4 linked regions of the Saccharomyces cerevisiae S288C genome follow. The gene in region 4 interacts genetically with the main gene of each other region. Each region holds a gene or a part of one and is shown on either strand. Other genes may lie near its edges.

Region 1 (8,290 bases), on a different chromosome or scaffold from region 4:
AAATATTGGAGCAGATAAAAGATGGTGGACTTGGACCCGAATTAGAGAACAGAGAAGCAGATTTTAGTACGATTAAATTGGATTATTTTTCTATTTTGCACGCCTTTGAACTACTGAATCTATACGATCCATACTTGAAGTTGATATTATCACTTCTAGCCAAGGATAAAATCAAACTGAGATCGACTGCTATTAAATGTCTCTCGATGTTGGCTTCAAAAGACAAAGTGATACTTTCAAACCCAATGGTTAAAGAAACTATTCACCGGCGTTTAAACGACTCATCTGCATCTGTCAAGGATGCCATTCTAGATTTGGTCAGTATTAATTCTTCATACTTCGAATTTTATCAACAAATTAACAACAACTATAACGATGATAGCATAATGGTAAGAAAACATGTGTTAAGAATTAATGAAAAAATGTACGACGAGACGAACGACATCGTCACGAAGGTATACGTAATAGCAAGAATCCTAATGAAAATAGAAGACGAGGAGGACAATATAATTGATATGGCTAGGCTGATTTTATTAAATAGATGGATATTAAAGGTACATGAAGTATTGGACCAGCCCGAAAAGTTGAAAGAAATTTCTTCTTCAGTCCTACTAGTAATGTCCCGTGTGGCTATAATGAATGAGAAATGCTCCCAACTTTTCGACTTGTTTCTCAACTTTTATCTCCTAAACAAAGAAGCGCATTCAAAAGAAGCATACGATAAAATCACTCACGTTCTAACCATTCTTACCGACTTTTTGGTACAAAAAATTGTCGAGCTCAACTCAGATGACACAAATGAAAAGAATTCGATTGTTGATAAACAAAATTTTTTAAACCTTTTGGCGAAGTTTGCTGATTCTACTGTGTCATTTTTGACTAAAGACCACATTACAGCATTGTATCCTTATATGGTATCGGACGAAAAATCTGACTTCCACTATTATATCTTGCAAGTCTTTAGATGCACTTTTGAAAAATTGGCCAACTTTAAACAGAAATTTTTGTATGACTTAGAGACGACCCTTTTGAGTAGGCTACCAAAGATGAATGTAAGAGAGATAGATGAAGCTATGCCTCTTATCTGGTCTGTTGCCACTCATCGTCATGATACTGCTAGAGTAGCTAAAGCATGTTCATCCTGTCTTTCCCATTTACATCCATATATAAATAAGGCAAATAACGAGGAAGCTGCCATTGTAGTTGACGGAAAATTGCAAAGGCTGATATATTTATCCACCGGTTTTGCCAGGTTCTGCTTTCCTAAACCCTCCAATGATAAAATTGCATTTTTACAAGAAGGTGAAACCCTGTATGAACATATTACCAAATGCCTACTTGTACTATCTAAAGACAAAATTACACACGTAATAAGAAGGGTTGCTGTGAAAAATCTCACTAAATTATGTGGAAATCATCCAAAACTATTCAATTCAAGACACGTTCTACATTTACTGGACAAAGAATTTCAGAGCGATCAGCTAGATATTAAACTAGTAATTCTAGAAAGTTTATATGATCTTTTTCTACTGGAAGAAAGGAAGTCAGTGAGAAACACTGGCGTTAATAGCACTTTGTCTTCGAACTCCATTTTGAAAAAGAAATTACTGAAAACGAATAGGGTAGAGTTTGCAAATGATGGAGTATGTTCAGCGTTGGCTACTAGATTTTTAGACAATATTCTCCAACTATGTCTCCTACGTGATCTAAAGAATTCTCTCGTAGCTATTCGATTATTAAAGTTGATTTTGAAATTTGGTTACACAAATCCCTCTCATTCAATTCCAACTGTAATTGCTTTATTTGCCTCTACTAGCCAGTATATTCGTCATGTCGCCTATGAGTTGTTAGAAGATCTTTTTGAGAAATACGAAACGCTAGTATTCAGTAGTTTATCTCGAGGGGTTACAAAAGCTATACATTATTCTATTCATACAGATGAGAAGTATTATTACAAGCACGATCATTTTTTGTCTTTACTTGAAAAATTATGTGGAACTGGAAAAAAAAATGGCCCAAAGTTCTTTAAAGTTCTGAAGAGAATCATGCAATCCTATTTAGATGATATCACCGATTTAACATCAACAAATAGTAGTGTTCAAAAGTCCATTTTCGTTCTCTGCACTAACATTTCGAATATCACATTTGTTTCTCAGTACGATTTGGTGTCCCTACTCAAAACCATTGATTTAACTACAGATAGATTAAAAGAGGTTATCATGGATGAAATAGGTGACAATGTTTCATCGCTATCCGTATCAGAAGAAAAGCTCAGTGGAATAATTTTAATACAGTTAAGCTTACAGGATTTGGGTACTTATCTACTGCACTTATACGGGTTAAGGGATGATGTGCTTTTATTAGATATTGTAGAAGAATCAGAATTGAAGAACAAACAACTCCCTGCAAAGAAGCCGGATATCAGTAAGTTTTCCGCACAGTTGGAGAATATTGAACAGTATTCATCAAATGGCAAGCTTCTTACATATTTTAGAAAACACGTGAAGGATACGTAAATATATTGCACTTAAAATATACATAGTATTAATAATCATTTTGCATTTTCCATGCTGATTTTTCACGCAGGTTTTGAGAAGCAACTATGAAATATTGAATTTCATTTACACCATCGCATTATATTAGTTCAAACTAAACCTTTTTTTTCTTGCGGACAGGCAAAATATTAATACCTGAGTTAGTTTTCATTCCATTGTGTGTTTTTACAAAGGTCTTTTCGTTACAAGAGGGCACTATTGCTAAGTTTGGGTTGATATTGTTAATAATAGCACCCACATTCTCAGAAGACCTTTGTGAAATCTGAGATGCAGTGCAAGATGAAATTGAACCTAAAGGTGCCTTCTCTGAAAGAGTTGGACTTATAGATGCAGCATTGTTCCTTAAGGCATTCATTTCTTTTGATTTGACAGTCTCTGTCACAGATATTTCCTCCGCTTTAACATTCAGTTTCATAGACTTTTGTGTATCTTGCCTTATATCCCGAATGACTTCTGGTTCCACCTCCATCGTTAACGGGATGACTTCCCTTCTTCTTTTCACAGCAATTTGCGTTGATATTCGAGGAGCTTTCTTGAATTTTTTTGGATTTGTGGGAACTTTGTTTTTCCATGAATTTCTCTCTTTAGTGGAGGTTTTAATCAAATACGGTTTTCGGAGCGGCTCAGCTACGATAGCAAACCGTGTCATTCCCTTTTGTGATTGATGATCGCTCAGCAGTACTATAATGGAACCACCGCATTGCTGCTCTCTCTTCTTTAGGCGTCTCTCCCTTATTTCCTCAACGGTTATTTTTTCTTCTTCTTCGTCAGAGGAGCTTGCGTAATCTGGAATAAAAGTTCGATCGATTCGAGTATATATCTTGGGCCAATCTTTGCCACTAACCAATTTCAACAATGAATCACTTGAGGCTGGCCTTCTAGCTAAATTGCGGCTTTTTTTTTTCATAGATTCAAATTTATGTAACATTGAATCAATCAGCTCTTTAGTTTGGTAACGTTTAGTCTCCATTTCATTCTCGTCAGTGGGGTCATTTATTTTAGTAACCTTCTGTAATGTTACTTCCCAATTCAACATACCCAGTCTGTCTGAAATTAATGAAAGCCTGTCTGCTTCATTTTCACCATTTACGATGTCCGATTGAATCATTCTATTTTCTTGCTTCAACATTTTCTTGTGGTAAGGCTGATACGTGCTATCAGGAAGCAAATCATCAGTTGGTTTTCTAATATTCTGGCTCAATTCATGATGTTCAATTTCTAGTGTCATCTTTGTAATTGTCTCTCTCTTTTTCTTGATCTCATCATCGACATTACTCATGAACGGCGACTTCATCACAGGTTTCTGACAACGCGTTTCGTCAACATGCTCATCTACAGTAAAGCAGGACTTAGATTTCCTTAGATGTCCAGCATTTGGGTTTATCCTGCTGACTAATCTTAACTTCCTTTTAGGGTTAATTTCGTATTCTTCTGTATCAAAATCGAATTTTTCAAATTCTCCATGACTATTTTTAATCTCAGACCTCAGCAATCTCTCAGAAGTATTATTTGCTTCTTCTATTGATTGAAAAATACCCATTGATGAACTCTCATATGCTTTTAATGCTGTAGAAATTTTCGGTTTTCCTTTTTAATCTTGCTACTTTTTGTTTTGAGATCGCTGAAATCAACTCGCGGGTTAGATTTTCTTATTTTTAAAAATGTAGAACGAACGATTATGGAAACAACAATAACCAAAAAGAAAGGGAAAACAGTACCGCTTCTACTAATCTGTTGGATACATTAGACAATAAGCTCTAGGAAGTATGGTATATCGTAACAGGTCAAAGAGCGTTTTATCTACACACAGCAAGAAGAGCGACGATAAGGCCCACTATAAATCACGTTCGAAAAAGAAATCAAAAAGCAGGAGCAAGAAGAGGTTAAGAATCTACTGGAGATACATATCTATTGTATGGATCTTATGGTTAGGATTAATATCTTATTATGAATCAGTGGTTGTGAAGAGAGCAATGAAGAAGTGCCAATGGTCGACTTGGGAGGATTGGCCTGAAGGCGCTGAAAGTCATAGGGTGGGTTTATTTGCAGACCCACAAATAATGGACGAATATTCATATCCTGGGAGGCCTCAAATAGTTAATTATTTTACAAGAGTGATTGTTGACCATTATCACAGGAGAAATTGGAAATATGTCCAGTATTACTTGGATCCTGATAGCAATTTTTTCCTAGGTGATCTATTTGATGGAGGGAGAAACTGGGATGATAAGCAATGGATTAAAGAGTACACACGATTCAACCAAATATTCCCCAAGAAGCCACTGAGAAGAACGGTCATGTCTTTACCAGGTAATCACGATATTGGTTTTGGAGACACAGTTGTTGAATCGAGTTTACAGAGATTTTCTAGTTACTTTGGAGAAACTTCCTCCTCATTAGACGCTGGAAATCATACCTTTGTACTTTTAGATACAATTTCGCTTTCTGATAAAACAAATCCGAATGTCTCGAGGGTTCCTAGACAGTTTTTGGATAATTTTGCAATGGGTTCACATCCGCTTCCTAGAATTCTTTTAACTCACGTTCCATTATGGAGGGATCCAGAACAGCAAACGTGCGGTCAGCTACGTGAATCCAAAGAACCTTTTCCTATTCAGAAAGGGCACCAGTACCAGACAGTTATAGAAAACGATATATCACAAGAAATTTTAACGAAAATTCAACCAGAAATATTATTTTCCGGGGATGATCATGACCATTGTCAGATATCACACTCATATCCGTTTCAGGGGAAAACTAAAAATGCTCAAGAAATTACAGTAAAGTCATGTGCAATGAACATGGGGATCAGTAGGCCTGCTATTCAATTGCTCTCCTTATATAATCCTTCAGATTTGACAATGGTAAATGCCGGCGGAGAGTATGCATCAAAAACTTACCAAACAGAGCTATGCTATATGCCAGATCCCTATAAGGCAATCAGAATGTACCTATGGGGATTATTATTCTCTGCTGCCTTTATCGCATACATGCATTTTTTCCCAAAATCTTTTAATAATCGCGTAGCAACCATAATGAACAGAGTATTTACACGACCTGATGGTAACACCTCAGATTTGCCATTACCTACAAGTATTTCCAAATCGAAATCCAAAAAATCATTGACACATAGTAAATACGCTGTGAATGATACGCGTTCGATCAAACAATTTCTAGTTAATGCAATTGTCCTTTTTGTTTCTGTGATGCCCATTTTTATTTATTTTTATACTGTAGTCTAGACAGAATTACTGCTATTCTCTTCCAGGATCAAAATGCTTTGAAGGGAAACGTCTGGCTATTTAATATATGCGAATACACCTTATATACAGACAATGAACAAGAGATATAAATTATACCGGGTGTGGTATTACTATGCTCACCAAACAGTTTGCATAACCTCTACTGGATTTGCATTATGTTTTGTGGTCCAAGCTAAAACTGCAGGACTGGGCGTAACACCAATTACTTCACTATACGGGGACAAAAAAGAACACCTAGGTAAGTTGTTGGTTCCTTTAGTTTTATATCAAATTTAGCAAGTCATGACGGCAAATTTCTTTGTAAGCTTTGTTTAAAAGATGGATACAAAAGGACGACTTTCCTTTCAATCTTTCGTTTTTGCTTTTTATTATTCCATAGCAATATAGTGATCATAGTAGTGTAATTTTTAGAGTTTAAAAAACACGAAAGTAGGATGAAGTACAAAAGATTAACGAAAATACTCCATTCTCTTAACAACTCATACGTATATGAAGATTAAATTAATATGGAAGATAAATTAGACAGATACTACACAAATGTGCTTTCAAATGCTGAAAAGGATAAACACACAACTGTCGATAGCGATGACAAAAGTAGTGGCGAGGAAAATTTAGATGAACTACTTAATGAATTGGATAGAGAATTAGACGAGGATCATGAATTTTTGAGTGCTTATCGGTCGGAGAGGCTACAACAAATATCAGATCATTTAAAACAGGTCAAGAAGAATGTTGAGGATGACGGATACGGTAGATTGCAGTGCATTGATAACGAGGCAGATGCTATCCAAATATGTACAAAGACTACTATGGTGGTCATACATTTTGAATTAGAAACATTCGGTAAGTGCCAGTATATGAATGAAAAACTGGAAAACTTGGCAAAGAGGTATCTAACCACGAGATTTATTAAAGTAAACGTCCAAACATGTCCATTTTTGGTTAATAAACTGAATATTAAAGTACTTCCGTTTGTAGTTGGATACAAGAATGGCCTAGAAAAAGTTCGCTACGTAGGATTTAGTAAACTGGGAAATGACCCTAATGGGTTTGATATTAGGAGGCTAGAGCAATCTTTAGCCCATTCAGGTGTTATAGAAGACACATTCGAAATAAGAAAGCATTCATCTGTGAATACGGAACGCTTCGCTTCTACAAATCATGATAGAAGTGAAAGTGATAGTGATTTAGATATATAACTAAATAACCATTACCTCCCTACTAAAAATGACTCGATGGTCTTTTAAGCCATACGCATGAGCGAAAATGGTTCCTCCTGTTCAAACTAAATCGGTTATTCGAGCGTACCGTTGAAAATTTAATAAAACGTTTTGGGGGATTTATAGAAAGTTAAATACGAAATATGCGTATAGTAATGTTTATACATGAAACTCAAAAATGCGACTGTGTTCCTTAAAATAATAAAAGTTGAGTACGAATAACGATGACTGAGAAAGGTAGTGTATATTGTATATAAAATTGGACCATCTTTGTAGTAAAGACAAAAAAACCAATAAATGCAGATAAACTTAGCAGAACTAACTCTAAATTTAACTTTCCTTGGATGATTTTTCATTGAGTTTTTGAGTAAGTTCTAGGATTTGTTGCTTCAAGTCATCATTCTCAACCAATAAATGTGCTCTGTGAATTTCACTATCCTTTAAAGAGTCCATAGATTTTTTCAATTGAATACAAGATCTCGCGTAACCTTCTTTAATAAAATTGAAATTGAGCAGCAATTTATGAGTATTAATTATTCTTGCCTTCATTTCCGAAATTTGACTTATTGTAAACTCATTTGTGAACTTAGCAGGCTTCGTTGCAGATACAATGTCTTGTCTTGCAGAATCTATTTTAGATGTTATATCAGTAATCATGGATTCTATTTTTAGGTGGGATTCATTAGCGTCGGATGAAGCTAACGAAGATGAAGGTGATAGGGATGCAGGGGATAACATGGGTTCATTTGTGGTTTTCAAAAGGGATTTTTTCTTCTTGATGGTGGGTTTATCTATCTTATAGTTCTTTTGTTCTTTATCAGGTTTATGTACGTTATTTTGGTTTGTACTTTTATCTAATGATGCCTTGCCAGTATAACCCTTTTTATGCCTATCGAGATCAATACCAACTAGGCTATCATTAGCACTTCTCTGCATTTCCAAAAGTGTGCTCGAATCGGTGTTGTGTTCATCGTTAAATAAAGATTCCAATGTTAGGTGTTTCTGAGAAGCGATGTCGGAATCAAAAATATCAGTGCAGTCTAAATTATCCATCATAACTTGTTCGAGATCCTTTCCCAAATCTAAACTCTGCCCATCAATCTTTACTGTATCATCAAAATGATTATTTGCCTGAGTGAGCAGCCGATGCAACGTATGTTCTATATTGGCATCATCTGTTAAATCTGTATTCGGATTGGACTGATTCGTGTTCATTATCTTCACGTTTTCCCTATCACAACCTTAGTGTAAC
Region 2 (8,057 bases), 450 kb from region 4:
TGGTGATATCATCACTGAAGATGGTAAAGAAAAAAAGGTCACTTTTGACATCGAACCTTACAAACCTATCAACACATCCTTATATTTGTGTGATAACAAATTTCATACAGAAGTTCTTTCGGAATTGCTTCAAGCTGACGACAAGTTCGGTTTTATAGTCATGGACGGTCAAGGTACTTTGTTTGGTTCTGTGTCCGGTAATACGAGAACTGTTTTACATAAATTTACTGTCGATCTGCCAAAAAAGCATGGTAGAGGTGGTCAATCTGCGCTTCGTTTTGCTCGTTTAAGAGAAGAAAAAAGACATAATTATGTGAGAAAGGTCGCCGAAGTTGCTGTTCAAAATTTTATTACTAATGACAAAGTCAATGTTAAGGGTTTAATTTTAGCTGGTTCTGCTGACTTTAAGACCGATTTGGCTAAATCTGAATTATTCGATCCAAGACTAGCATGTAAGGTTATTTCCATCGTGGATGTTTCTTATGGTGGTGAAAACGGTTTCAACCAGGCTATCGAACTTTCTGCCGAAGCGTTGGCCAATGTCAAGTATGTTCAAGAAAAGAAATTATTGGAGGCATATTTTGACGAAATTTCCCAGGACACTGGTAAATTCTGTTATGGTATAGATGATACTTTAAAGGCATTGGATTTAGGTGCAGTCGAAAAATTAATTGTTTTCGAAAATTTGGAAACTATCAGATATACATTTAAAGATGCCGAGGATAATGAGGTTATAAAATTCGCTGAACCAGAAGCCAAGGACAAGTCGTTTGCTATTGACAAAGCTACCGGCCAAGAAATGGACGTTGTCTCCGAAGAACCTTTAATTGAATGGCTAGCAGCTAACTACAAAAACTTCGGTGCTACCTTGGAATTCATCACAGACAAATCTTCAGAAGGTGCCCAATTTGTCACAGGTTTTGGTGGTATTGGTGCCATGCTGCGTTACAAAGTTAATTTTGAACAACTAGTTGATGAATCTGAGGATGAATATTATGACGAAGATGAAGGATCCGACTATGATTTCATTTAAATAAATAAAAGGGGGAGAAAAAAATCGAATCAAAAAGAATTTAATCACTAGATGCCAGATTTAAATTAAATTCGCTTTTAATTTTTTGTACAATATAATATATACTTGGTAAACCTTTTGCTCTATATTGAGCTAATTCCTTTGTTGAAAGTACATAGTGGGTTTAGAGGACCGTGTATATTACGTAGAAAATACAGTGAAAGGAGAGTTTCTCTTCAAAAGCCTCGAGATTAATTATTTCTCTTTTTCTTTTTCTTCAAAGTTTCTAAGGCGTTTGTCTTTTCATGACCAATGATAGAATTATGACCTCTTTTTTTGACCAAGTTATCAGCTAAATTCACTAGCCCACCTGTCAAATATTTCTGTCTTCTATCTTTACGTATAGGCACTGATAACAATTCGTTCAACGTAGCTCTCATGGCTTTTACCTTGTCCTTATTTATAGTCTTCTGCATTTTTTTATTTTTATTTTTTAGTAAGAAAGTGTCCGAATTACTCTTTGATATATCGTCTTCGTCGGAATCAACGTCAATACCTAATTCATCAGCAGCCTTTTTTAACCAATTGTCATCTTTTCTTAGGGAATTAGAAGCAATTTCATGATCAGCCAGTTCGCCTGCTAATCTACTTCTTTCTCTGAGTTGTGAAAGTATATCGGTTTCAATTGGTAACAAAGGCACAGTGTTTTGCCACTTGATGGGTTTTCTGTTAGTTGATCTAGAGTTCAAATCCGTCGAAACACTATTTTTTGTAGCGAGAGTTTTTCTTAACTTTCTTAATGGGCCCATAGATTCTTGAGGTGAGCATATCATGGCAGAGACACCTTCAGAACCTGCTCTTGCAGTTCTGCCTGATCTATGAATATAAATATCAGTAGATCTTGGTAAGTGGTAATGAATAACGTGTTGAACACCCGGAATATCTAAACCTCTAGCAGCAACATCACTTGCAATCAATACTGTTGAGAGTTGAACGGAATCCGGATTCGAATGATTTATTGTTTTCTGTTTAGCGCTTTGTTGCTTGAACCTTTCTAAGCTTTTCAAACGGTTCTTTTGTGTCATGGAAGAATGAATTTGAAAAGCTGGGATGCCTAGGTTATTTAAGTATACGGTCAATTTCTTCACGGAGTCAATGGCATTACAAAAGATCAAAGTTGTACCTGGGAACATGGTTAAAAAGTAATAGCAGTATAGGTCACGTTCTAATGGAGGACATTCAATTAAGGATTCTTTGATTTGAGAGCTCACTTTTGACTCAGGATTTGTATCTATTATAACCGGCTTTGAGTTGAAGTGAATTTTGCTCATTAAGTGTTGTATTACGGCATTTAGCTCATCTTCGTTGTTTTTAAACCTTCTATCCTTAACTTGACGGGAAGAAGATAGCTTATCAAACAAGTCGATGGAGAATGTTGCAGAAAAGATCAAAGTTTGCCAAATTTTGCTACTGCCCTCGGAGTTTTCTCTGTTTTTCCTTCTTTCTACTAATAAATGTTTAATGATTTTTTCGAACTCGTCGAAATGACCGTCTTGTAACAGCCTATCAGCCTCATCAAGGATTAGCGTATTTACTTTCGAGAATCTTTTGATTAAAGTGTTGTCTTTTTCCAACAGTTCCAAAAATCTACCTGGTGTTGCGATGACAATTTGGCCACTATTATCGTACTTTAATAGACGTTGTTGTTTTTGGATAGAGAGTCCACCTGTCAAAGATAATATCGAGTACTGAGATTTCGCTAGAACAGGCTCACAGATCTTTTTTAAGTGGTCTGTGACTTGATGCGCCAGTTCTCTTGTAGGAGTAAAGATTAACGATATTGGTTTCTTGTTTTTCTGAGAGAAGTTACTGATCAGTTTCTCTACAATTGGAATACCATAGGCTAAAGTTTTACCTGAACCTGTAGAGGCTTTCCCCATGACGTCTACGCCTTGCATAATAACTGGAATAGACTTTTTTTGAATTTCTGTAGGTCTGAGAAAATTTAAATTCTGCAAGCTCTGCAAAATAGTCATTGAGAGAGGTGCAAGATTCGTCCATTCAGGTAAATTTACAGGAGAAATATCATCGATATTAATGTCTTTGTTAAAGACGTTTTCTTTCAAAACATCCTCATCCACATCCTCATCCACATCCTCACTGGGATCGGTTAACTTTGAACTCTCAATATTACCTTGCTCATCCTCGTCGGATGATGAATAAGATGCTGCACTCAACTCTCCTTCTTTAATATCGTCCAAGTTCTTGAATTCAAGGAGCTCGGACTCCGAATCTGACCCTGATTCATTTTCCACAGATTCCTGATCATCTCCGACTTTTTCCTTATTGCTATCTTTTAACACTTTTGAATCTTTTTTGGTGACGAAAGTTACTTTACCATCCACGACTTTAACGTCCACTCCGTCAATTTCTTCCAAGCCATAAAATCCACCAAAGTCATCTAAAGTGTCCGGAATATCTACTGGTTTCCAGTTCAATTTGGATTCATCTACAATTATCTCCTGTGGCTTTGTGACCGTTTTTCCTTTTTGAGGAGCCCTTTTCTTACCCATGATGGAAAAACTGATTATGCCGGTATTTGACTAAAGAATTTCTACCTGAGGTTATGATGATAATGATGGGCAGGTTGGCGAATATAACTTTTTTAGATGGAAATTCTTATAAGCTCATCGCTGGAAAAGTTTTTCAGAGAAAAAGAAAAGTACGGACTAACTAACCTTGAGGCGGGTTTGTGAGGTGAAAAAAAATATAACAATTATAATATCGATGAGCTAGCCATGACCTTGATGGCAATCTTGTATCAGCTTAGCGATACCACTAATACAGCGGAATGCATTCAAGAAAGTCGAAGAGTATTACGGGCAAGAGGAAGCAAGTAGGAAGTAACGTGACGAGAGTAATCAAGCCACAGAAGACAAGAAGGATAATAAGAAGATTCCACCATTTAATTAATAAGCGTCAATCGATATGCAAGTTTTTATGCCTTAAGGAAAACCTAGATGATTCCAACGAGGAGAAGAATGACAAAATTATCAGGTTAAGTATTAAAGGTAATGTAAGACTGGGCAAGTACTATGAAGACGGCAAATCGCAGTCCTTCAATGATGCTATGGAATCACAACTACTGAGGCTGCACTCATTAATTAAAAATGAATCCAAATCAAAGGATACTTCTGACTTGGCTGTGATGTACACATTACTTGGTTACATAATGAATCAGATTAATAAATTGGGAGGACTAGAAACTTACCAAATTGCCAGTCAAAACGGGCAATTGAAGGAACGAGGAGGAGACACGTCCAAGTTGCTCGAGAAATGGATCAGGTCCTCATTTGAAAATTGTCCTGGAGCAGTGGCATTAGAAATTGGTTCATTGAGCTCCGGAAATCGCATATCCCGTTGTGCACTTTTTAGAAATGTGGTTCGTATAGATTTAGAGGAACATGAAGGCGTTATTAAGCAGGATTTTATGGAAAGACCGCTACCGAGAAATGAAAACGACAAATTCGACCTGATATCATGCTCTCTAGTGCTAAATTTTGTCAAAAATCACAGGGATCGCGGTGCAATGTGCCATCGCATGGTCAAATTTCTCAAGCCGCAAGGCTACATCTTTATTGTTCTGCCACAAGCCTGTGTGACGCACTCAAGATACTGCGACAAAACACTGTTACAAAACCTCCTCGGCTCTATCGGGCTCATAATGCTTAATAGCCATCAAAGTAATAAGTTGTACTATTGTTTGTATCAATTGCAGGTAGTTCCACCGCAGCCGAGTAGCTTTTCCAAAAGAATCAAGGTTAACGACGGCCCTGGGTTGAACAATTTTGGTATTACCCTCTAAGCGAGCCGACACCGCCTGGAAGTTTTTCATAAAGGGATACAATATAGAAAGATGTGTAAAAACGTTAAGTAAAAGATGAGCAAATGAACAGTGTTCGAAGGAGAATAACAAGAGTTACTGCTCATATAAAACTAATATACTAAAGGTTTTCGCTTTGTATTACGATTGAAACAATTAACTGTTTTTTTTTTTTCCGCTTATTACACAGTACCGGTTTCATTTACGCCTTTGATCATTTTATTGGCATTGGGCTCATAGTAGTTTTCAGCGCGTGGTTAAGCTATTTAACGAAAGCGTATAAAGTCAAGTGATCATCTTTTGCCCTGCAAATAGAGCTTCAAACTTAACATTCTTCTTCAGCATATAACATACAACAAGATTAAGGCTCTTTCTAAAATGAATCAAAGCGATCCGCAAGACAAAAAAAATTTCCCAATGGAATACTCTTTGACCAAGCATCTTTTTTTTGATAGGCTTCTACTTGTTCTTCCCATAGAATCTAATTTGAAAACATATGCTGATGTGGAGGCAGATTCAGTTTTCAATTCGTGTCGGTCCATCATTTTGAATATAGCCATCACTAAGGACTTGAACCCGATTATCGAAAACACATTAGGTTTAATTGACTTGATTGTGCAAGATGAAGAAATTACGTCTGACAATATTACAGATGATATTGCCCATTCTATATTGGTTCTTTTGAGATTACTGAGTGATGTTTTTGAGTATTACTGGGATCAAAACAATGACTTCAAGAAAATTAGAAACGATAATTACAAACCGGGATTTTCAAGTCACAGGCCAAACTTCCATACATCTAGGCCAAAGCACACGAGAATCAATCCAGCTTTGGCGACGATGTTACTATGTAAAATTTCTAAGCTGAAGTTCAATACAAGAACTTTAAAGGTTTTACAGAACATGTCTCACCATCTTTCTGGCAGCGCTACTATCTCAAAATCGAGTATTTTACCCGATTCACAGGAATTTTTACAAAAGAGAAACTATCCAGCATATACCGAGAAAATAGATTTAACAATAGATTATATCCAGAGATTCATATCTGCTTCCAATCATGTTGAATTCACAAAGTGTGTCAAAACAAAAGTTGTTGCACCTTTATTGATATCACACACCTCAACCGAATTGGGCGTAGTAAACCACTTGGATTTATTTGGTTGTGAGTATTTGACTGATAAGAATCTGCTAGCATATCTGGACATACTACAACACCTGTCAAGTTACATGAAGAGGACCATTTTTCATTCGCTTTTGTTATATTATGCTTCCAAAGCTTTTTTATTTTGGATAATGGCAAGGCCAAAAGAATACGTCAAAATTTATAACAATCTAATATCATCAGATTATAATAGTCCGTCTTCTTCATCTGATAATGGTGGTTCGAATAATTCTGATAAAACGTCTATATCCCAACTAGTCTCACTGTTATTCGATGACGTTTATTCCACTTTTAGTGTATCATCATTATTAACAAATGTCAATAATGACCACCACTACCATCTTCATCATTCATCTTCTTCATCAAAGACGACCAACACTAATAGTCCAAACTCTATATCAAAAACGTCGATAAAGCAGTCGAGTGTGAATGCTTCTGGCAATGTTTCTCCGTCTCAGTTTTCTACTGGGAATGATGCATCGCCTACTTCCCCTATGGCATCATTGAGTTCACCCTTAAACACGAACATCCTAGGGTATCCGTTATCTCCAATCACTTCAACACTAGGACAGGCGAATACTTCCACATCGACTACGGCTGCAACTACCAAAACAGATGCAGATACGCCCTCTACTATGAATACTAACAACAATAATAACAATAACAACAGCGCTAATCTTAATAATATTCCACAACGCATATTTTCCTTAGATGACATTTCATCCTTTAACTCGAGTAGAAAATCACTCAATCTAGATGATAGTAACTCCTTGTTTCTTTGGGATACTTCTCAGCATTCTAATGCATCGATGACAAATACAAATATGCATGCAGGAGTTAATAATTCTCAGTCTCAGAACGATCAGTCTTCTTTAAACTATATGGAAAATATTATGGAGCTGTATTCCAACTATACCGGATCAGAACTATCCTCCCATACTGCCATATTAAGGTTTTTGGTGGTTCTGACCTTATTAGACAGTGAAGTATATGATGAGATGAACTCAAATTCGTATAGAAAAATTTCGGAACCGATAATGAATATTAATCCGAAGGACTCTAATACTTCAAGTTGGGGCTCAGCATCCAAAAACCCAAGTATCAGGCACCTCACCCATGGCTTAAAAAAACTTACTTTACAGCAAGGCAGGAAACGTAACGTTAAATTTTTGACATATTTGATTAGAAATTTGAATGGGGGACAGTTCGTTTCAGATGTTTCCTTGATTGACTCTATCAGGTCCATTCTATTCTTAATGACAATGACGTCTTCTATATCCCAAATCGATTCAAATATTGCTTCTGTTATTTTTTCGAAGAGATTCTACAACTTGTTGGGTCAAAATTTAGAGGTCGGCACCAATTGGAATTCTGCCACTGCAAATACTTTTATTTCTCATTGTGTTGAAAGGAATCCCCTTACACATAGGCGTTTACAATTAGAGTTTTTTGCAAGCGGTTTACAGCTGGATTCTGATTTATTTTTAAGACATTTACAACTGGAAAAAGAACTCAATCACATAGACCTTCCCAAAATATCGTTATACACTGAAGGATTTAGGGTATTTTTTCACCTAGTAAGCACCAAAAAACTTCATGAGGATATTGCAGAAAAAACCTCCTCTGTGTTAAAGAGACTTTTCTGCATAATTGCTGATATTTTGTTGAAAGCAACGCCTTATTTTGACGATAATGTAACCAAGATTATTGCTTCTATATTGGATGGGCATATTTTAGATCAATTTGACGCTGCGCGAACACTTTCTAATGATGATCATGTCAGTTTTGATGCTGCCACAAGCGTTTACACTGAGCCAACCGAAATTATTCATAACTCATCGGATGCCTCGTTAGTCTCTTCACTTTCCCAATCACCCTTATCAATTAACTCAGGAAGCAATATCACCAATACGCGCACCTGGGATATTCAATCAATCTTACCAACCTTATCGAACAGATCAAGTGCTTCTGATTTGAGCTTGTCTAACATTTTGACTAAT
Region 3 (8,310 bases), 710 kb from region 4:
ATTTTACACACATCTCACGCAGCAAAGCAAGGTTCAAGGTTTGGATTAGGGTTAACGTTCATTGGATATGGTTATTCAATGATTCCCAATGATGTTACTTCAAAAGTCGGCAAAAATAAAAGCTTAAATAGAATGGAATTAGAGGATCCAAATGAATTCGATGATGTTCGTCTAAATTCACAATCAACGACACAAGATAAATTTGAATCACATTTGAATCACGGTCTGGATGAAGAAAAACAAAACATACCATGGTTGGCTGTTTTTGTGGCATTTCTTGGGCTATTTATCACCCTGAAGAGTATATACGACTACATTCAAGTCAAAAAATTGGAAAAGAAATACCTCAACCAAAGTCAAAATCAAGCATAAGCCATCTTCTTCATTATGATAAAAAGAGATATATAACTTTTTTAAGTGATCGGCTGGTAAATAGACTTATAACGAGTAGAAAACATTAGATGATATATTGTACACAATAATACATTTCAGGCTAGCATAACTAAGACCTTTTCATAGATAGTGAAAACAATACCACCACTCAAGACCAATCTCCCAAGTCTAGGCGTAGCACCTTTCCAAAACGTCTTTAACCCTTCTTCTTTGAAAATGGTTGCAAAACAATTCATTGTAGAGGAGTATTTGGTGGAATCCAAACTTTGCATTCTTGTTTTCACAGTATCAAGGGGCATGGTGGAATAGACCGTCACAATACCACTAAATGCACCCACTAAGAAGGTTAACCCGGATGATAAAGGTTTGTCTTTTGGCGAATCCGTATAATCTTGGATCAAGGTCTTAATCTTATTGTAACAACCCAATCTAACGGCTTGGTTTGCGGCCTGTCTCATGGAAACTGGCAAAACACCACGATAAAGACCAGAAAATCCTTTATCACGGACTAATGATGAATAGTTTCGTACTACACCGCGCCCATTATTATGGTATTTTGGTGTAGCAGATTGTTTATCATCGATCAAAGCAGTTTTGATTGCTTCAAAAGGAGTCACTGCGGCAACACTTTCTAATAGTCCCGCACCTAACCCAGCTATCACCCCTCTTGTACCACTTAGTTCTCCAGTTTCACTATCTCTTAGCATGTCTTTAATGGTATCAAAGCCAAGAAATCTAATACCCGCCTTAGCGGTGTTTCCAATAATAAATGCGGGACATCCGACATAAATGGAACCAATGCCCTGAGTTTTTGCAGTTTTATATATCAATACCAGAGGATTTCTTGATGCCTTGGAGGCCTTATCAATCAGCTGCAGCCTTGTTTTGGCAAACTCAAAAGGATATGTTATACATGCTTCAGCAGCACCGGCTAGGGACCCTGCCAGAAACGAGTGCAATGGATCTACGTCACTTTTGGTAGCTTTACTGGACATCGGTAAAATGCTAATTTATAATTCAAGCTCTACTTTGGAGTTCTTTCATTGTGACATCAAAATGTTTTTAATTTTACGTTGGCTTCGACATTTTACGTTTTATATATCACGCTAAAGTGAGACTAAATTTCATTGTTCTTCTTTTTTTTTTTTTTCACTTCTAATAATTGAAAATTCCGCAGGAATTCTTCCATATTCTTGACTCTTCAGTAAGACTAACTTAATGGAAATAGAGAAAATAGTACATATTTGAAAAAAAAAAAAGAGGTGTTGAAATGATTTGAGAATATTAAATAGCTTACAAGCGTTAGCCGAGTTCCCAGACAGCAGAGTTTCTACCCTGTGCTCTTTGTTGGCGGCTTTATTGATGAGGAATATAAAAATGTAATTAGGCAAACCTACGCGCGAAAATATAAGAAGCAAAGATATAAAGTGTAGTATATTTGAATATTTACATGAACGAAACGGCGACGTATAATGGTAATCGGCTGGGAACTTCATTAAAAAGTCAAGATGTAAGTTACCTCTTAGTAAGAAGAGTTATTGCAGCAAGCTTAGTATCAATAGGGAGACTCTGTCATGTAAAAAAATAAATGAACACAATCATAACCTCTTCGACTGGGCTATTCGTTGTATAGTATATGTGGTGGAGTGTAATGAATGAAGTTCTCAGAAGCTTGAAAGCATATCAAAATCACGTATTGACTATGACAGATTCTTGTTTCTTGCTCCATTACTCCATTCGAGTTTTTCACAACTTTTGTCGTTCGTCTATAACATCTCTTTTTTTTCCCACTCTTCTAAAATATTGGCATAGCTGACATGTTTGGAACCGAATAAGCAATTACAATACGACAGTAAAATAAAAGCATGTTATTGCTGCTTGTAGAGAATTCCTGCATATGTAACTTTCTCATTCCGACGGGATAAGTTCATAAACTAATCAGCGATGAGTTGCGGAAAATTCGTCAATAGAATATTTTCCAGTCAGTGGTGGTCCCAGTGGCCTGCAACCTAATGGCTATAGTTCTGGATAATAAATTGGGCAAAGGTCAGTATAAAGAATGAATGTATCAGGCCGTAATTGAAGCTTTCAAGTCCAGGTGAAAGGCCAAATCGACAATTAGCGAAAACAGGATTTTTTTACCAACTTGAAATAGTGACTGCTGTCTTTTTGCCTGATTAAGTGGTTATATATTTCAACTAATATCACAACAAAAGGCCTCTCAAAATTTGTGGCGAAGTGTACATCCTGGGTGCTCAGGTAAGCGTCGTCTTCGTATTTTTTTTTTTTCAACAGTAGTTTGGAAATAATGCTCTTCGAGGAATGCGAGCGGAAATGTTATCCACTGTATAAGTCGATATTTTAAGGGACGCTAAATATATCATCATAGCTCGTCTATTGGTGGCTTCTCCAATTGCACTTTCAATGCATTATGGTAAAGTGTGGTGATAAGGCATAGTGATGTTTACAGAGGTCTGTTGGTTTCTCTGGGCTCGCTCATCATCCGACCAGTAACCTTGTGGGGTTTCACATATTGTTCTATGCATTATTATCACGGATTTGTGCCTGCAAATGCTGTTTCTTTGGCTTTTCTTTCTAAAAAAATTATGATATATATATTGTTCCTCCTTGTTTAACAGGCTTTACGGTATTGTGGATCCTAGTAATAGGCGTACTTTTCTTCATTTACATATTTGAACAATATATGTCTCACAAGTAGTTGACCGAATAGCGTTACGTAAGGGTCAAAAACCTTTTCAGAATTGTATATATGACATTTTTAGAACATGATATAATAAACAGAATATAAAAGAAAATAGAGACGACGTACCATGGCATGAAGAATTGTACTGATATCACATTGTGTTGAGCACTGATAGATTAATACTATATTTCTGCTAGGTGCGGGGGGTAACATGTCCTAATGTGTGGCAACCACATTCTAAGGCTCGGTAAGTGATGCGATATATGTGCATGTGTGGCTTTCTTCCTAATTTGCTATTAGATGATTGTGTGCAAATCCACAGAAATATACAATTTCGAGAATATATATACTAGTTATCGTTATAAGAACACACAGTATTGGCCAATTCTTGCCTCTGAATGGTACAAAATGCTTTAAAATGTAGTAAATGAAACATTAATTCCAAATCAGATTTTTTTTCGCAATGCTTAAATCTAGTAAACACAAAGTACTACCGAAAAGCAAGGATGGAAACTATGGCAGTATTGAAGAGACTGAAATTCCTTCTGTCGACTACAGTGAAGACTTAGATGAGGACTTGGACAAAGGCGAAGATATAGCGCTTTCAAGAATCCCAAATTGATGGATTATTGAAGCTACTCTTTTTTCTAATGTCTTTTTGTCCGGTTTTGACGGAACCGTTACAGCTTCGACGTACCAAACGATTGGTAACGAATTTAATCAGATGAGTATTTCAAATTGGATCACCACTGCGTATTTAATTACATCAACATCTTTTCAACCTCTTTATGGGTCATTTTCTGATGCACTTGGTCGAAGAAACTGCCTTTTCTTTGCTAATGGGGCTTTTACCATTGGATGTCTAGCCTGTGGTTTCTCGAAAAACATCTACATGCTTAGTTTTATGAGAGCATTGACAGGCATAGGAGGTGGTGGCTTGATCACACTTTCTACAATCGTAAATTCAGACGTTATTCCAAGTTCGAAAAGAGGAATTTTTCAAGCGTTTCAGAATTTACTTTTGGGATTTGGTGCCATATGTGGAGCGTCTTTCGGTGGCACAATAGCGTCGAGCATTGGTTGGAGGTGGTGTTTTCTCATCCAAGTACCCATATCTGTGATTAGTTCCATATTAATGAATTATTATGTACCTAATCAGAAAGAATATAATCGTCAAAATTCTAGCATATTCCAAAATCCCGGAAAAATACTCAGGGACATAGATGTTATGGGCTCAATTCTTATTATAACTGGTCTCACACTACAGCTTCTTTACCTGAGCCTGGGGTGTTCTACTTCTAAATTATCATGGACCAGCCCTTCTGTGCTACTGCTATTAGTTGGGAGTGTAATAATCCTCTTACTGTTCATATTGCACGAAAGGAAAACAAGTGCTAGAGCGATTATTCCTATGGAGCTGGTCAATTCCTCCTACAGTGTCGTTGTACTTTCGATAAGTATACTTGTTGGTTTTGCCAGCTACGCGTATCTTTTTACTTTACCATTATTCTTTCAGATTGTACTTGGAGATTCCACTGCAAAAGCAGGATTACGTCTTACGATTCCTTCCCTATTTACTCCGGTAGGCAGTCTCATAACAGGATTTTCCATGAGCAAGTACAACTGTCTAAGATTATTACTCTACATTGGTATTTCTTTGATGTTTTTGGGTAACTTTTTATTCCTGTTTATTGAAAAAACTTCTCCGAACTGGTTGATTGGTCTATTTTTGATACCTGCAAATCTAGGACAAGGTATCACTTTTCCTACGACCTTGTTTACTTTCATATTTATGTTCTCTAAGAGTGACCAAGCTACTGCGACATCAACTTTATATTTATTCCGTAGTATTGGATCTGTATGGGGTGTTGCAATTTCAGCTGGCGTCATTCAATTATCTTTCGCAGGTTTATTGCGTAGTAATTTGAAAGGTCTACTGGATGAAAACAAGATAAAGAAACTTATTGTTCAGCTTAGTGCAAACTCCTCATATATTGGATCTTTACATGGCGAAGTTAAAAACACAGTCATAAAGAGTTTTGATGAGGCAACAAAGAGGGCTCATCTAATGTCTACATTACTCTCTTCATTGGCCCTGATACTCTGCATCCTTAAAGACAATCTGGCGAAACCTAAAACAAGAAGATAAACAATATATACCTATGCCCTTGACCGACTCAATTGATACATTAACAGTATTGAAACTAGATATTCTACTTGACACTAAACTTTTTTTGTATTTCGTGGAATTGCAACGTTTCTAATTGACCGACAGTGCTGAACTGTGAGCGAATGCAACTATCTCTATAGTTTTTTTATCCTCTGTAAACTTTAACTAAATACATACTACTTTCATAATCTGTGAATAAGATGTGGCTGTGATAACCTAAAATAGTCACAAACCAATGAAAAAAGGCTTCAGAAAACTTGCTGTAAAGTCCCCCCACTTTTTTGTGTTACCGCCACCTCGAGTGCACTTTTTTTAATAAAGATCTCGTGTAATTGTCCAAATCTGACTTTTTCTTATAGTCTCGCTGGAACCACAGTGCGGCTTTGCAATTTTGCAAATCGGAATTTGAGTCACAGATCCCAGAAAAACTCCACACCTTCCCCACGCAGCAAGCGATAACGAACAAGTTGTCAAATTAGACCCATAATAATTTTGAACACTTCTACCTGTTCATGTCTTTTCTCGAACACTGTCATTTGAAATTATGCACTGTGAAAAAAAGAAACAAAGACCAAAAGAATAATATAAATAGTGAAGTAAAATGTGTTGTAATGCACATGGATCTTGTACTGCTCAAACTTAATATTTCTATTGTAGAAAAATTTTCGATTTAAAATTGTGAAACCGATTATATAAAAGTATATTAGCTGACATTAACGTCTCAAAACCAGGTCAATAGCTTTAAAAATAAAAATAAATCCCTGCAGAATACTCGGAAAGAATATGTCACGTAAGAGCTCGACTGAATATGTGCATAATCAGGAGGATGCTGATATCGAAGTATTTGAATCAGAATACCGCACATATAGGGAATCTGAGGCGGCAGAAAACAGAGACGGACTTCACAATGGTGATGAGGAAAATTGGAAGGTTAATAGTAGTAAGCAGAAATTTGGGGTAACGAAAAATGAGCTATCAGATGTCCTGTACGATTCCATTCCAGCGTATGAAGAGAGCACAGTCACTTTGAAGGAGTACTATGATCATTCTATCAAAAACAATCTAACTGCGAAATCGGCAGGAAGTTACCTCGTATCTCTTTTTCCTATTATAAAATGGTTTCCTCATTATAACTTTACGTGGGGCTATGCTGATTTAGTGGCAGGAATTACAGTTGGCTGCGTACTCGTGCCCCAATCTATGTCATACGCACAAATCGCTAGTTTATCTCCTGAATATGGTTTGTATTCCTCCTTTATTGGTGCGTTTATATATTCTTTGTTTGCCACATCGAAAGATGTTTGTATTGGTCCGGTCGCTGTAATGTCACTACAAACTGCCAAAGTCATTGCTGAAGTTCTAAAAAAATATCCCGAAGACCAGACAGAAGTTACAGCTCCTATCATTGCAACTACCCTTTGTTTGCTTTGTGGGATTGTCGCCACTGGGTTGGGTATACTGCGTTTAGGCTTTTTAGTGGAACTTATTTCTCTAAATGCTGTTGCTGGCTTCATGACCGGTTCCGCATTTAACATCATCTGGGGTCAAATTCCGGCTCTCATGGGATACAACTCATTAGTGAATACCAGAGAAGCAACGTATAAGGTTGTAATTAACACTCTGAAACATTTACCAAACACAAAGTTAGACGCCGTTTTTGGCTTGATTCCGTTGGTAATCCTCTATGTATGGAAATGGTGGTGTGGTACATTTGGTATAACTTTGGCAGATAGATATTATCGAAATCAACCAAAGGTAGCAAATAGACTGAAATCCTTCTATTTCTATGCACAAGCTATGAGAAATGCCGTCGTCATAGTAGTTTTTACTGCCATATCGTGGAGCATAACAAGAAACAAATCTTCAAAAGACCGTCCAATCAGTATTCTGGGTACAGTTCCCTCGGGCTTAAATGAGGTGGGAGTTATGAAAATCCCAGACGGTCTGCTATCTAATATGAGTTCAGAAATACCTGCTTCAATTATCGTTCTGGTGTTAGAACACATCGCTATTTCAAAATCCTTTGGTAGAATTAACGACTACAAGGTTGTCCCTGACCAAGAACTTATTGCGATTGGTGTGACAAATTTGATAGGGACATTTTTTCACTCATATCCAGCAACTGGGTCATTTTCCAGATCTGCTTTGAAAGCAAAATGTAACGTGCGCACTCCGTTTTCTGGGGTATTCACTGGCGGTTGCGTTCTATTAGCACTTTATTGTTTAACTGACGCCTTCTTTTTCATTCCTAAAGCGACACTATCGGCGGTTATTATTCATGCTGTTTCTGATTTGCTGACTTCTTACAAAACCACCTGGACCTTCTGGAAGACCAACCCGTTAGATTGTATCTCATTTATCGTTACAGTGTTCATCACAGTATTTTCATCCATTGAAAATGGTATATATTTTGCAATGTGTTGGTCATGTGCAATGTTACTATTGAAACAGGCTTTCCCTGCTGGTAAATTCCTTGGTCGTGTTGAGGTGGCAGAAGTATTGAACCCAACAGTACAAGAGGATATTGATGCTGTGATATCATCTAATGAATTACCTAATGAACTGAATAAACAGGTTAAGTCTACTGTTGAGGTTTTACCAGCCCCAGAGTATAAGTTTAGCGTAAAGTGGGTTCCGTTCGATCATGGATACTCAAGAGAATTGAATATCAATACCACAGTTCGGCCTCCTCCACCAGGTGTCATAGTCTATCGTTTGGGTGATAGCTTTACTTACGTGAACTGCTCAAGGCATTATGACATTATATTTGATCGTATTAAGGAAGAAACAAGGCGAGGCCAACTTATAACCTTAAGGAAAAAGTCAGACCGTCCATGGAATGATCCTGGTGAATGGAAAATGCCAGATTCTTTGAAATCACTATTTAAATTTAAACGTCATTCAGCAACAACGAATAGTGACCTACCGATATCGAATGGAAGCAGTAACGGAGAAACATATGAAAAGCCGCTACTGAAAGTCGTCTGCCTGGATTTTTCCCAAGTTGCTCAAGTGGATTCAACCGCTGTTCAAAGCCTGGTTG
Region 4 (7,495 bases):
ATGGGCAGATTTAACATCGAAGCTTTGAGGTTAGAATCGATCAAGTTCCCCCCTAGTTCTGTAACTCCTGAAGTCATCCAACAAGAATTACTACATCAACAACAGGAACAGGCGAAGAGAAGCTTTCCTTTCTTTTCAAATCTAATGTCTTCCGAACCAGTCCTCTTAAAATTCCAAAAGAAATCATCTGTATTACTAGAGACTACAAAAGCAAGTACAATTATTTCCCCAGGCATATTTTTTTCCGCTGTGATCAAGTCATCTCAGCAAACTCATCAACAAGAAAAAAAAGAGAACTCATCTGTTACTGGAACGACCGCTACCGCAGGGTCTAAAACTGTCAAACAACAGCCAGTTACTTTACAACATAAGCTTTTCGTTAGTGTTCCAGATTATGGTATCTTGAAAACACACGGTAAGTACGTTGAAAATGCCACGTTTTTGGAAACTGCGGGCCCAGTTCAACAAATTATTCCCTTATCGGGGTTGTTTAATGCAACGACAAAGCCACAAGGATTTGCTAACGAATTTGCGACACAGTACACATCAGAAACTTTAAGGGTAGCAGTTTTGACGAGCACTTCTATCGAAATTTATAAATATCGTACTCCTGATGAAATTTTTGAGGATCTAATCGATAATCCGCTGCCATTCGTCTTAAATTATGGTGCCGCGGAAGCTTGTTCCACTGCATTGTTTGTTACTTGCAAATCAAATAAATCTGAAAAATTAAGATCTAATGCCCTGACTTTTTTAACTATGGGTATTCCTGGCGTTGTTGACATCAAACCTGTCTACAACCGTTATTCTGTATCTACAGTATCCTCTTTATTGTCAAAGCCCACTTTATCAACCGCAACAACTAATCTCCAACAATCAATAACTGGCTTTAGTAAACCCTCCCCTGCAAACAAGGAAGATTTTGACTTAGATGACGTAATATTATCCCCCAGATTTTACGGTATTGCATTATTGATTACCAGACTACTTCGAGATATTTGGGGGAGACATGTCTTCATGACTTTTACAGATAATAGGGTGACATCCCATGCTTTCATTTCTTCTTCTGATCCAATCACTCCATCTATTAATAACCTAAAAAGTGATGAAATTTCACAAAATAGGAACATAATATCAAAGGTTTCTATTTCCAAGGATTGTATCGAGTACTATCTATCTTCAATTAACATTTTAAATGAATTTTTCATCACTTATGGTGATTCAATTTCCCAAATATCAGCTCCCTACGTATTAGCGAACAATTCTAACGGCAGGGTTATTGATAAAACAGAAGAAGTTGCAAACCAAGCGGAAAGTATAGCGATTAATGCGATGATCAAAATGGTACAGTCCATAAAGGAAGGTCTATCATTCTTGAACGTTTTATACGAGGAAAGCGAAGTCGAAGGATTCGACAACCAATACCTTGGTTTCAAGGATATAATCAGTTTTGTAAGCTTGGACGTCCAAAAAGATTTAGTCAAACTAGATTTTAAAGATTTATTTGCTCCAAATGACAAAACAAAATCATTAATTAGAGAAATTTTATTATCCATCATCAATAGGAATATCACCAAAGGTGCGTCGATAGAGTATACCGCAACAGCTTTACAAGAACGCTGTGGATCATTCTGCTCTGCAAGTGATATATTAGGATTTAGAGCCATTGAACATCTTAGAAGGGCTAAAGAAATTGGCTTGCGTAACTATGATTCTCTAAACTATCACCTGAAAAATGCTACTGCTTTACTTGAACAAATTGTGGATGATCTTTCTATCGAGAAATTGAAAGAAGCTGTATCAATGATGCTGAGTGTAAATTATTACCCAAAATCTATTGAATTCTTATTGAATATTGCCAACTCTATGGACAAAGGCAAACTAGCTTGTCAATATGTGGCAAATGGATTTTTAGAAAATGATGATAGGAAACAATATTACGACAAACGTATCTTAGTTTATGACCTAGTTTTTGATACTTTAATAAAAGTAGACGAACTTGCCGAAAAAAAACAGTCATCAAAAACTCAAAACCAAATTTCGATATCGAATGACGATGAAGTGAAACTGAGACAAAAAAGTTATGAAGCCGCCCTAAAATATAACGATAGATTATTCCACTATCATATGTATGATTGGCTTGTGTCTCAGAACAGAGAGGAAAAACTATTAGATATTGAAACTCCATTCATACTCCCTTATTTAATGGAAAAGGCAGGTAGTTCATTGAAGATATCTAATATACTCTGGGTCTATTATTCAAGAAGATCTAAATTTTTCGAATCTGCTGAAATTCTTTACCGTTTAGCTACATCGAATTTTGACATCACATTGTTTGAAAGAATTGAGTTTCTTTCACGCGCCAATGGTTTTTGCAACAGTGTGTCACCATTAAGCCAGAAACAAAGAATTGTACAATTAGCTAGTAGGATCCAAGATGCATGTGAAGTTGCTGGTATTCAAGGTGATATATTGTCGCTCGTGTATACAGACGCAAGAATAGATTCAGCCATTAAAGATGAGCTGATCAAAACTCTAGATGGTAAAATATTGAGCACAAGTGAGCTGTTTAATGATTTTGCTGTACCCTTAAGTTACCATGAAATTGCCCTATTCATTTTCAAGATAGCAGATTTTAGGGACCATGAAGTAATTATGGCCAAGTGGGATGAGCTATTCCAATCTTTGAGGATGGAATTTAATAATACCGGAAAGAAAGAAGATTCAATGAACTTCATCAACTTACTGTCTAATGTACTGATTAAAATTGGTAAAAATGTTCAGGATTCTGAATTCATTTTCCCCATTTTCGAACTCTTTCCCATTGTCTGTAATTTTTTCTACGAAACACTACCTAAGGAACATATTGTATCAGGGTCGATAGTTTCTATATTCATAACAGCGGGTGTTTCTTTCAACAAAATGTACTATATTTTAAAAGAACTAATCGAGACATCAGATTCCGATAATTCCGTATTTAATAAAGAAATGACCTGGTTAATTCACGAATGGTACAAATCGGACAGGAAATTTAGGGACATTATTTCCTACAACGATATCATTCACTTGAAGGAATACAAAATTGATAATGATCCAATTGAAAAGTACGTTAAGAACAGCGGCAATAATTTGGGGATTTGTTTCTACAAAGAATAAAAATTCATGTTCGACATATAGATAGCAGGGTAATGTACGTGTATATTTTAATGTAATAAAGAGGCCTTACTAGACGGTAAAGTTAAGAATATCGAGTGAACTTTTCCTTAAGATAAAGGTAAATATAGTCGAGTATTTATTTATTATTCTTTTCCACTATACAGTATTTAAAATTCTGTAAGAAATTGATTCTACATACATAAGACAAACGAACAGGTCAGAGAGAATCAGATTTTTGGTTAGCAAGAATACATTTTGGAGAAGAAAGACATTAACTCCACCTTACTGTATCATCTTATTTGCTTTTTCACTCCTTCCTAATATTTTTTTTATTTTATTTTGAATTTCTTCCTATTTCTGATGCATTGAACAGATCGTAATCTGTAAGTAAATACCATAACGTGCTCACATTTGTCTCCAAATACTGGTGAAATCTTGGCTCCGTTGTGTACAAAACTTCTTAATGAATATATATATATTTTTCCCTTATTTTATCTTTTTTTTTCGAATTTTTTATGTAAACATTCTTATACTGGAACAATAGATGGCTAATGAGTCCCTATAATTTCGATTTTAGATGTTAACGCTTCATTTCTTTTCATATAAAAGACTACCTGCCAAATGTATTTTCTCCTGAGTAAGTGACATACAAAAACCCGTCCTTATCCTTGTGTTCTTGATATATGGCAGACATCAACGCCGCAGTAGGTGGCAAAGTATCATTGACAAAAATGAAGATGGCCTTCTCAGGGGGTAGCATAATTCTCTTTCTTATAACATAAACAAATTGCCCTACGGTAAGGTCAGCAGGAACTAGATATTTACGCTTATCAATCTCTGGAATATCTGACTTTTCAGCTTTTTCGCAAATCACAGGTATCCTATTCTTGAACCTGTCAGCAATCCTCTCCGACTCCGCCTTCCTTTTTTCAAATGGATATTCAGACTTAAATGTAGACTTCATGTCTCTAGTAATTATTTTATTATGATTTTCTCAACTTTACAATTATTAGATTCTCTTATCAATCCCCTCCTCAACCTTTAATGGTTCCCCTTTTTGTATTTCCATAATTATACCAAATATTTTTGCCGCCGCCGAAAATAACCGGCCTCCGGGTGATGATATATCATGTGCTATGATTTCACGGGTATTATACAACATTATCGGTGGAGACAGTTAGCATTACATGACTCTAACTTAAACGTAAACTTACACATATACATCTATATCACTTCGAGTAGAGAAAAATTTGTACGTATTTATATGAGTTGTTTTCATAATTTGAACACTTTTAATTTGAAAATGGTGTCATTAATAGATTGTTCTTCATCACCAATTGGGTCTGTCTTTGAGCCGTCATATTTGGCAATGTCGGATCTACAGGTCTTGCTTAACATATCAAAATGTTCTTTGACAATGGCTTCAAAGTCGATAGTATCTTTAACTAATTCGTACTCCACTAAAACATCGTCGGTGGCTTCCAAACCACACTTCTTTCTCAATTTTTGGATTCTGTTGACCAGCTCTCTTGCGAGACCTTCACTCTTTAGTTCAGAGTAAATATTTGTATCCATGATGATTAACACGTCTTGGTCGGTTCTGGTTTCTTGTCCAGCTTGGACAGCAGATTCTGGCAAGCCTCTAATAGCATTCAAATCTCCTTTAACCAGTTCAATACCGGCAACCTCCAACTTTCCGCTTTCCAAATATTCCCGTACTTGCTCAGAAGTGACTGATGGTAGGGCATCTTTAACCTTCTTTGCGTCTTTTTTCAACTTCTTACCCAATACAGGCCAATCAGCAACTGCTTTATACTCAACACCATATTTTGCCTCATCGGAGGTGATAACAACATCACGAACATTTAATTCCTCGATAATGTAGTTTTTCAAGGCTTCTACATCCTTCAAGTATGATTCATCACTGTGAAGGATGACCAAAGTCTTCAATGGAGTTTTTAAGGAAATAGTTTTCTTTTCACGAATGTTTCTACCCAAATCGATAACGGATTGCATTCTAGAAACTGCAGTTTCGATGGCCTCGTCAAAGTATTCTTTCTTGACCACTGGGTAAGATAAGAAATGGACTGATCTTCCGTCCTTACCGTATTTTGCTAAGACAGCTTCTGGGATGTATTCCTTCAGTCTCAAATAAATGCTTTCTGACAAAAATGGGGTGAATGGAGCCATGGCACGGACAAATGTGAATAAGGCATCGAATAAAGAATTTAATGCTTTCAAACAGTCCTCAACACCGTTTTCACCCTTCAAACGACGACGATTAAATCTAATATACCAGTTTGTCAATTCATCAATGAAATTCAAAAGTTTTGGAACGACAGTGTATAATTTGTACTGACCCATTTCTTCGTGAATGAATTGTACTAGAGATTGCATAGAAGCTAAAATCCATCTGTCCATGACATTATCACTTTTCACAGAATCATCATATTGGAAGTCGATGTTAGACATCTTTTTCAACAAGGCAATTTGACCGTCCAAAAATTTAAAGGAGTTCCACCATGGTAGTAAGACCTTTGAAACAACCTCCTTAACACCCTCTTCTTTGAATTTCAAACTTTCAGCTTTTAAAACAGGTGAGTTTATCAAGTACAATCTTAATGCATCCGCACCATATTTGTTCAGAACAATGGATGGATCAGGGTAATTTTTCAAGGATTTAGACATCTTTCTACCATCGGCAGCTAAGACAATACCAGAGACGATGACGTTCTTGTATGGAACAGAGCCAAATAGATGGGTACCTAAGACAGCTAACGTGTAGAACCAACCTCTTGTTTGATCCAAACCTTCAGAGATGAAATTAGCTGGAACTCTTTCGTCAAATTTTTCTGTGTTTTCAAATGGATAATGTTGAGAAGCATAAGGCATAGAACCAGATTCAAACCAACAATCAAAAACTTCTTCAATTCTCTTTAAGTCACCCTTACCTTGCTTGGATGGAATTGTCAATTTGTCAATGACATCACGATGCAAGTCAGTGATGTTACGCACACCGGTCAATTCTTCCAATTCTTTGATAGAACCAACACAGACGACCTCCTCAAAATCGTCTGAAACCCATAAAGGAATTGGAGTACCCCAATATCTATTTCTGGAAACGTTCCAGTCACGGGCATTGGCGATCCAGTTGGCGAACCTCTTTTCCTTGATGGTGTTAGGAACCCAGTGAGATTTCATCACAGAATCCAACATTTGAGGGACAATGTTTTTAACACGAACGAACCAAGCTGGAACAGAACGGTATAACAATGGGGTATCGGATCTCCAACAGAATGGATAGGAATGGCGAATTTGGGATGCCAATAACAAATTTCCAGTATTAGTTAAGTACTTAATAATCAACTTATCAGCGTCCTTGACATAAACACCCTCAAAATCAGGAACGTCTTTCGTGAATCTACCAAGGTCATCAATGGCGTTAGGTAACACTGAATCTTCGGATATGACGCCGTTCTTCAAACAAGCAGCATTATCCTCTTCACCGAAAGCGGGAGCGTTATGAACAATACCAGTACCGGAATCACTAGTAACATAATCATCTGAAATAACTCTAAAAGCTGTTTCATGGAACTGTTCAGCGAAATATGGGAACAATGGTTCATACTTCAAACCAACCAAATCAGAACCTTTAATTTTTTCCACAATCTTATATTTTTCATTCTTAGGCTTCTTATACAAGGTTTTAATCAAAGATTCTAATAAGATGAAATAACGATCTCTGGTTTCGTCGTAAATCTTTACATATTCGAAATCAGCGTTAACACATAACGACAAATTGGAAGGTAAAGTCCATGGAGTCGTAGTCCATGCGACCAATTGAGTTTTTTCCTGGCCAATAACATTGAAACCAATGGTCACAGCTGGGTCGTTAACATCTTTATAGTTTTGCTGAGCTTCAAAGTTACTCAAGGGAGTGGTTAGGCCAGTAGAATAAGGCATAACTTTGAATCCACGGTAAACTTGACCTTTTTCATGAAGTTGCTTGAAAGCCCACCATGTGGACTCCATAAAGGATGGATACATAGTCTTGTAATCGTTGTCGAAATCAATCCAACGACCCAAACGACCAATAGTTTTTCTCCAATCACTGGCATAAGTCATAACAATGGATCTACACTCATTGTTGTAGTTTTCAAGACCATACTTGAAGACGTCATCTTTACCCGTGATACCTAATTTCTTGTCAATGATATGTTCAATTGGAACACCGTGTGTATCCCAACCGAATCTTCTTTCCACGTGGTGGCCTGTCATGGTAGCGTATCTTGGAACAATATCCTTAATAGTGGAAGCAAGAATATGACCGTAATGAGGA

What was found.
Region 1: mutations in ATG8 (region 4) and SAS4 together harm fitness more than expected from each alone (negative genetic interaction), as found in Saccharomyces cerevisiae (2 studies listed by BioGRID).
Region 2: mutations in ATG8 (region 4) and BMT2 together harm fitness more than expected from each alone (negative genetic interaction), as found in Saccharomyces cerevisiae (2 studies listed by BioGRID).
Region 3: mutations in ATG8 (region 4) and VBA2 together harm fitness more than expected from each alone (negative genetic interaction), as found in Saccharomyces cerevisiae (2 studies listed by BioGRID).

What each region holds. Positions count from the first base shown.
Region 1 is NC_001136.10:823,261-831,550, forward strand, and holds SAS4 (Sas4p), read right to left. Parts: upstream 4,096-8,290; coding exon 2,650-4,095; downstream 1-2,649. Other genes in the region: cohesin-loading factor complex subunit SCC2, read left to right, coding at 1-2,516; putative lipid phosphatase CDC1, read left to right, coding at 4,322-5,797; YDR182W-A (uncharacterized protein), read left to right, coding at 5,891-6,094; PLP1 (Plp1p), read left to right, coding at 6,325-7,017; ATC1 (Atc1p), read right to left, coding at 7,369-8,253.
Region 2 is NC_001134.8:523,845-531,901, reverse strand, and holds BMT2 (25S rRNA (adenine2142-N1)-methyltransferase), read left to right. Parts: upstream 1-3,863; coding exon 3,864-4,877; downstream 4,878-8,057. Other genes in the region: SUP45 (translation termination factor eRF1), read left to right, coding at 1-1,033; MAK5 (ATP-dependent RNA helicase), read right to left, coding at 1,264-3,585; GTPase-activating protein IRA1, read left to right, coding at 5,274-8,057. UniProt on the Saccharomyces cerevisiae protein: S-adenosyl-L-methionine-dependent methyltransferase that specifically methylates the N(1) position of adenine 2142 in 25S rRNA.
Region 3 is NC_001134.8:783,185-791,494, forward strand, and holds VBA2 (Vba2p), read left to right. Parts: upstream 1-3,821; coding exon 3,822-5,246; downstream 5,247-8,310. Other genes in the region: BSD2 (Bsd2p), read left to right, coding at 1-372; CTP1 (Ctp1p), read right to left, coding at 489-1,388; YBR292C (uncharacterized protein), read right to left, coding at 1,518-1,889; SUL1 (sulfate permease), read left to right, coding at 6,051-8,310. UniProt on the Saccharomyces cerevisiae protein: Transporter required for vacuolar uptake of histidine, arginine and lysine and to a lesser extent tyrosine.
Region 4 is NC_001134.8:76,612-84,106, forward strand, and holds ATG8 (ubiquitin-like protein ATG8), read right to left. Parts: upstream 4,121-7,495; coding exon 3,767-4,120; downstream 1-3,766. Other genes in the region: NUP170 (Nup170p), read left to right, coding at 1-3,156; isoleucine--tRNA ligase ILS1, read right to left, coding at 4,432-7,495.